Linked DNA regions of Mus musculus. The protein of the gene in region 1 interacts with the protein of each later gene in a pairwise test. Links are inferred from orthologs where the notes say so. Each region holds a gene or a part of one and is shown on either strand. Other genes may lie near its edges.

Region 1 (4,056 bases):
CTAACAGTAACGGCCATGCAACACTAGCAGCAACACTCTAGCACACCGGTGAGATTCCCAGTCCCCCCCTTGGTTCAGCGCTGTGTTGGGCAGAGACAATGGGAGCCCTTGGCTTTGGCTGCAGTCAAGCTGTTCCCCGGGGTTGGTGCATCAGGAGGGGACAGGACAGGACGTCTAAGCCACCGTGTGGTGGTTCTCACCCACCACTGGACTCTGCTTCAGTTTCTGTTCCTGGCAGTGCTGGTGTGAACAGCACAGCCCAGGCACTTCCTCTGCAGTCACAGACACCATCTCTCCTCTTCATTTTTAACCCCACTGTCCCTGAACACTCAGCCATGCTGTTTTGCCCACATGCAGGGCCCACCTCTCCTACTTAGTAAACTCTCTGGAAACGCCTCCCAAGATGCATCCAGACAAATTCCTGCTTTCCTCATCCAGGTTTCTCACCAATCCATCTGACAATCGAGAGTAGCACCATCAGAGCCAGCAAGATGGCTAAAGGCACCTGCCACCAAGCCTGACAGCCACTGCTCCATCCCAGGGACCCATGAGGTAGAAGGAAAGAACCGGTTTCCCAAAGTTGCCCTCTGACCTCTCCTCCACACATGCTGGGATTAGCCACAAGTGGCCTCTTCTCCCCCCCTCTTTATAACACATTTTAAAGTTCCTGTTTGTTGAGAGATGAACACACATATGCCCTCATAGGACTGCTGGTTTATTTAAGTCTGCCTTCCTCATCAGACAGATAGTTCCTTGGGGAGAAAGATTTCTTACAAAATCTCAGAAACATTAAGAATGATTAGCATTGGAGCGGAGTGTGGTGGCGCATGCCTTTAATCCCAGCACTTGGGAGGCAGAGGCAGGTGGATTTCTGAGTTCGAGGTCAGCCTGGTCTACAAAGTGAGTTCCAGGACAGCCAGGGCTATACAGAGACCTGTCCAAAAAAAAAAAAAAAAAAAGAAAGAAAGAAAGAAAGAAAAAGAAAAAGAAAAAGAAAAAGAAAAGAAAGAAAAAAAAGAGAAAAGAATGGTTAGCATTAATTTCTGAAAGTCTGCTCTTCAAGGAAGGAACTTGTCCAAGGCTACACATGGGCATCCCCTCGACTCAGACTCTTTCTACATAGCCCTAAGGAAAGTAACCCCCTCTACCCCCCCCAAAAACCCAAGTCTTCATCCCAAAGAGCCGCATTCCAAGAGCCTCAAATTTTACATTACTTGAAAACATACTTCAGGGGCTAGAGAGGTGGCTCAGCGGTTAAGAGGTTAAGAGCACCGGCTGCTCTTCCAGAGGTCCCAGGCTCAATTCCTAGCACCCATGTGGCAGCTCACACCTGCCTGTAATTCTAGTTCCAGAGGATAAGACACCCTCACACAGACATGCATGCCGGCAAAACACCAATGCATTATAATAAATAAATTATAAGATATAAATATAATTTTAAAAAAACTCAAGAAATCTACTTCAACCAGGAAAGCAACCTACAGCATAAAGAAACAATGTAATTAATGCACAAAGCGAGGGGGAAAAAAAATCTTAGTGAACCAGCCCATCCCCCTGGCCAACTAGCAGAAAGTTTTATTCCCCACCACATCAGGTGAAATGGAACAAGTGAGTGTGAGTACAGGTGCGTTAGGCTAGACACTGCAGTTAGGATAAATTAGCCTCGGCTCAGTGAAAGGAGGGTGCGCAGGCGCAGTTTAAGGTGAACAGCCACTCAGAAAAAGACTCTCCAGCAGGAGAAAAATGGCAGGCGGGGAGGGGGAGGGGTTGCCACGCAGGCACAAGAGATCTAGACCTGGGAGGGGGGAAGGGATGCCGTGCAAACGCGCTAGAGGGGCCACGGAAAGGCGCCACTGCCAAAGCTGCCCAGCTGCCATCTTTTTTTTCCTCTTGCAAAAGTACAGAGGCAGAAAACTGCATCTCAACAAAGCCCCCCTGCACTGCACATTCTTCCCTACCAGCTTTTTCCCATTGCTATCATCAGAAGCCACCCACCCAAATCCTTGTCTGGGAACAGGTTCTCAAGCGGGGTTACCTGGGGAAGGCGCCTTTCCCACCCCGGCACCAGTCTGGGACTCCAGCTTAGAGCCGGAGGCTGCTGGCCTGGTACAGGCCGGAGGAACCGTCGGCTGCACGAGGCTGGGCTTACCGTAGTCGGCGAACGGCAGTCGGGGCACGGGCCGCACTGGCCCTGGCACTGGCACGGGCCGCACTGGCAGGTGCTGATCCGGGTAGCAAAGCTCCGGCCTGGGCGCCTGTGGCATGAGCTGGGGCAGCCACGCGGAGGAACGGTCGCGCAGTCCCCCGGGGGCCCCTGGTCCAGGCTGGAAGGTGCTGGGGCCCGGGCGGCCACTTGGGCCCAGCTGGAAGGTGCTCGGGCCTGGGCTCGGGGCCTGCGGGGGCCTCTCGAGGAAGCAAGTGGCCGTGGGGCCTGGCCCAACGCCTCCCGGAACCGCCCTAGGCAGTGGGCAAATGCTGGAGCTCAAGGCGGTGGCCGCCGCTGCTGGAGCCCTAGGAGGCAGCTGGGGACCCTGCGTGCCCACGGTCGCCACCTGCTCCTCGGCAGCTTGGGTTCTGAGAACCTTCTGGGCAGCCATGATCTTCTGGCGCTCGGTGATCAGGTAGCACTTGTCACAGATGCACTGCTTCCAGCGGCATTTGCCCGTATGGCCCTTGACTGGTACCAGATAGCCATGGTTCCGGCACCTAGAGCACTTGGGGGCGCGAAGCATCTTGTCGTCTAGCTGGGCAAGCTCTGCTTCCAAACGCAGCCACCACTTCCCGAAGCTGCAGAGCAAGTGAAGCAGGAATGAGCGGTGCCCCCATAAGTCCCTGGTGCTGGGGACATTGGATACACTTGTAACAAAACAGCTCGCTGAATGTCCGGAGAACTGCAATAGGACTCTTGCATTTTTTCCACTTTCTGTGTGTGTGTGTGTGCTAAATTTACCGTGTTTCTGTGTGTTGGGCAATGGTGTACGGTGTAAATTAAAAATGAAATACTTATTACATGTATGTCATACGAGTTATTTGAAGTTTTCGGCACTTGAATTTTCAAACTTCCTGTTCCCGCCAAATTGTAACTGGAAAATAGATTTTTTTTTTTTTTTTTTTTTTTGAAAAAAGGCGGACTTCTACTCAACGGTCGAGGGTTTTAAAACTCCCAATGAACAGAGCTGTTAGTAAACCCGTACTATTGGAAAGTTCCAGAGAACACTGTGTTTTTCCTCCCCGAAGCAGCTGCTTCTGCTTCATCTCGCTCCTCTGTAGAGAAAAAGAGCAGTTCTGCTTCCAGAATATTCTTCAGCGCTTAGTGCAGTGTTGGTTACTTACAGGCATTGCAGAAACCATGAGTTTTTGAGTCCTGTTTGTGTAAGCACTAGGGTCTGAAAAATGCATGCTTAATAATGTTCTAAAGTGCCGGGCGTTGGTGGCGCATGCCTTTAATCCCAGCACTTGGGAGGCAGTGGCAGGCGGATTTCTGAGTTCGAGGCCAGCCTGGTCTACAGAGTGAGTTCCAGGACAGCCAGGGCTACACAGAGAAACCCTGTCTCGAAAAACAAAAAACAAAAAGCAAAAACAAAAATAATGTTCTAAAGCAAAACATGATAGTTCGGAACTAATTTGAATTACTGGCTTTTGGGTTTGTTTGTGTGTGTGTGTGTTTGTGTGTGTGTGTGTGTTTCTTGTTTCATATGGTCTTTTAATTGTCTTTATGAAGCCAAACACAACTACTTAAAAAAAAATTCCCTAGCCACTGGAAATACATTGATGAAGCATGCATACTTCTCTCAGGAGAGGGGCCATATAAGTAAACATTTGCAAGAGCCTTCCTCAGACATCTGCTCACCCAGTATAGGGCACACAGCACGGTGTGTTCAGACCTAACTTAGGGGGGCTTGCCCCTCCAGGATGGCCTTTATTCCCAGAATCTACCAATATCACAAGGAGCCACAATTTGCTTGTTTTGTGACAAAGCATGTGTTCCAGTCGGTTCACTCTGAGAGAAGGGGAGCTCCCAGCTTTGGAGAGTAATTCCACCCAAAAGAAAAAAAA
Region 2 (3,500 bases), on another chromosome or scaffold:
CTGGAAATTTGGTGGTCTCCCCAGAGCTGGGCTGCAGGCTCAGTCTCTGGACTCCTCTGTCTGGCAATTGTGAGGAGCCAAAGTTTTCAAAGGAGCTGATTCTCTGCCTGATGGAGGAAGAGGCCTGAGGCTGTGGCCCTGGTGGGTCCCTAGAAACTGGTGTAGGCTGAATGGCTGAGGCTACTTCCGGGGGTCTTCTGGGGTCTGGGGCACGATTCCTCAGACCTTTCAAGCTCTGCCGAAACCAAGCTGGCTTTGGGGCTACTGGAGGCCCCTTCTTCACAGTGCTGCCATCTGCTGACTTGTAAACTCTGGGAGCACCATTGGCAGCGTCCATTTTTGACAGGCCCCCCTCTGGACAGCCCTGTGTCCCATCCTCTTCACCAAGGCTGGTGTTGGGCTGTAGTGGTGTATGGCTATGGTTCTCACTCATGATGGGGCTAAATAAGTTTTTGATGCAGTCGGAAATTCTAACCCAAGGGTCTTCAGCAGTGATATCAAAGCTATAGTCCATCCGTGCCTGCCTCTTCAGCAGCGGGTGTTTTCCTGGGGATGCTGGAGTCTCTGGTGGGCAGAAACAAAGCCAAACCTGAGCATTATACTCTGTTGGGATTTTTTCTCCTAAATTCAAGTTACAGTGCTGAAGAGCTCAGGAGCAGAAATAGTGAACAGAGTGGGTGCTGGCTCCAAGGGATGACACCTAACTGGGGTACCAACAAGCAAAACTGGAGAAACAGAGGAGAGTGACATGGGCCATCTAAACATCTAGAACTAGATGTGTTCCTGGGAAATATCTGCTCTTATCATTTGATAAGAGAGGACTCTAGCAGTCAAGATGGATGAGGGGCCACAGTTGTCGGAGTCAGGCAAGAGCACATGTCTTCTGACTGTTCATTCTAATGTCCTCCCCACTGTCTAAAGTAAGTCACACAGATAACGTACCAAAAAAAAAAAAAAAAAAAAAAAAGCAAAGTGAAAGCAATTCTTTTGCCTTTTAAACTCACTCCACGAGTCTCAAGTTGGTCACCATATTTGATTTGGACTATCTATGCAATTCAAAAGCAAGAAGAATGGGCATGCCTACTGGGTAAGGTGTGTACAGTTTACTGGGGCCCCCTCGTTTCATAGGCACAGCTCATAGCTATGGACTTGCCTGTTTTTGAAGTCACAAGGTCTTGTGAGTATGATACTCTGTCCATACTCAGGTAATTGACCAGCCTGCTTGAAAAATAAGTCTTTCTCAATCAAAAAAAGTTGATGAAACTGTTCCAGGGAGAACAACAAAGGCTGTAGCATTGACTTTGAACTTTGGCTACACATAGGACTAGAGGAGCCCTTTCTCAGTTGTGAGTTGATATATCTGAGCTGTATCCTGGGCAACAGGGATTTGGTAAGGCCCACAAGGAGTTTCATCATCCACTTATGACCATGATGTTCTCAGGCTGGCATATCTAAGGGGCAGCGTGGCAGAAGCTCTCTCAGAATAAGATAACAGTAAACTGACATCTACCTGCATGCGTGGGGGAGACTCAGCACCCAACTCCCTTCCTGAGGAGCAGGAGAGGTTGGCACATGAGCCCTAACAGACAAGAGGGAAGTCACTGGGCTGTTCTCTGTGTTCACCATGCCTCATCCTTCTCTACATACAACTAGGCTGCTTGGACTTCATGTTTCAGAGACGGTTTTCATATGAGAATGCACCCTTGTTTGATGAATACTGCTTCCTCCTATGTCCTGTCACAGTGCCTAGCCTCAAGGGAAGTAGAACTTTGCTGCTACCAAAGAGTACCCTTGCATGATCATGGAGGTCTGAGTAGGTACTACTGACTATGGGACTTCAGCAAGGAAATCTGGTCCTCTCAGCCTGTCTCTACATTTACAAAGTGTTCAGCTATAAGGGGCTTATGTGGTAAGAATGGAAGAGTCCAAAGCTCCACAGGCAAGTCCTCTGCAAACTAGGGTGTGTCCTCAATCAGATGACTAAGAGAAGGGAGGGTGGTCAGGTGGAGTCTCCCTTGGTGGGGCACCTCTCTGGGTGAGAAGTCTAGATCATTCATTCATAGTGCCCTTAACTCTCCAGAGGCCTTACCATGCATGGGGAATATGGTTAGTAGCCTCCCTATTTACTCTTTTGCGACACTGGGAGCTCCTTAGGTCAGGAACGGGTCTGTGGCACTCCTTCCTCCTTCATCCCTGGCAGCAAGCACAGCCTCACCTACCTAACATTCACCATGTGCTAGCAGCAGTAAATCACATATTAGGATTCTATGTGGTCTTAAATATTTGCTCACTAGTGAATGAGCTGACAAAGGCAAAGCTGATTGCCCAGAATCACAATTAACGATGGGTGAACCCGGGATCCTCTGTTCTTTCTAGTAAGCTGCTAAATAACCAAGATACCATGTTGTATTTACTGAAGTACCACTTGGAACTACCCTTGCTATCCACCTCCTCGCCATGGTGACCACTGCTCCGGCTTTTCCCATGCTGCACTCTCAGATTTGAGCATAGTGCATGAAGTGTGTTGTCTTACTGACACCCATTTAAAGCAGTTGCTCAAGGTAGCTGGACTATTGAAACTTTTGGGCATCTGTCCATGTAGACCCTCAGGAATTGCTTGCATTCCCACCACCAGCACCACCACCACCACCCCAGAATCACTGCTTCAACCAGGAAGCACATCTATCACTCTAATGAACACTTCCACTATCCTCTTGCCCCTGCACCCAGGACACCTCACTGTCCACCAACCCCAGTCACAGGCTGTGTCCACTGTGTCCATGCAAAACACTGACCTCAGACCAAACTCTAGCACCTACTTGATCCATAGAACTTTCTCCAGAAAGATTTTCTTTCTGGAAGATCCTTACGGAGGCTCACCTGGGCTGGCACTCCTCCTTGACTCTCCTTCTGTGGAGGATGAAGTCTGCGTGCTGGCTGCAGGTCCTGGGCAGCAGGCAGCGGTGCAGGGGGCTCTCCCTGCAGTGTCTTCCTGTAGCAACAGTGGCAGCAGCTCTCTGGTTTCCTGTGGTGTAAACAGGAAGCCAGACTGTGTCAAAACGGTAGTCTACAGCTGTGAGAAGGCAAGGCACTCTTTGATTAGGACTTGAAAGTGAGTATTGAGACACCTTTAGCGGGAAATTCCCAGCAGTCATGAGAAAGGGGTCTCTTCCCTCCTGGGATGTTGCTGTACAGCTAGTCCCTCTTAGATGTTCCAGGTTTCCCTTGGCTTCCAATGACCTGTTGTGCACCATGCATCATAGACACGGAAAGTTACCGGCTGTCTGTGATGGGCACAAGAGCTGGGGATAACAAATGTGCCAGCACAACTTTGCTTAAAATGGCATGTGGGGAAACTATCTGACCCCAGGAGGTACACACAGGGGCCAAGGGAACTGTCTTCTAATGTTGCCTAAGTTAAGACCTAAGCCCACTCAGAAGAAAAGCACATCCATTGCGTACCTCACTGGTTTTAAGTTCTTTAAATAGCATTCTTCATT

What was found. The genes of interacting proteins can lie anywhere in the genome.
Region 2: the proteins of Dmrtb1 (region 1) and Il16 interact in a two-hybrid assay, tested with the Homo sapiens proteins (2 studies listed by BioGRID). The two-hybrid records come from large-scale screens. The link is inferred for Mus musculus from reciprocal best matches to the Homo sapiens genes DMRTB1 and IL16.

What each region holds. Positions count from the first base shown.
Region 1 is NC_000070.6:107,681,431-107,685,486, forward strand, and holds the start of Dmrtb1 (doublesex- and mab-3-related transcription factor B1), read right to left. Parts: upstream 2,801-4,056; 5' UTR 2,733-2,800; coding exon 2,150-2,732; exon of another isoform or gene 2,036-2,149; intron 1-2,035.
Region 2 is NC_000073.6:83,652,399-83,655,898, forward strand, and holds part of Il16 (pro-interleukin-16), read right to left. Parts: intron 3,098-3,500; exon of another isoform or gene 3,026-3,097; coding exon 2,881-3,025; intron 565-2,880; coding exon 1-564. UniProt on the Homo sapiens protein: Interleukin-16 stimulates a migratory response in CD4+ lymphocytes, monocytes, and eosinophils. Primes CD4+ T-cells for IL-2 and IL-15 responsiveness. Also induces T-lymphocyte expression of interleukin 2 receptor. Ligand for CD4.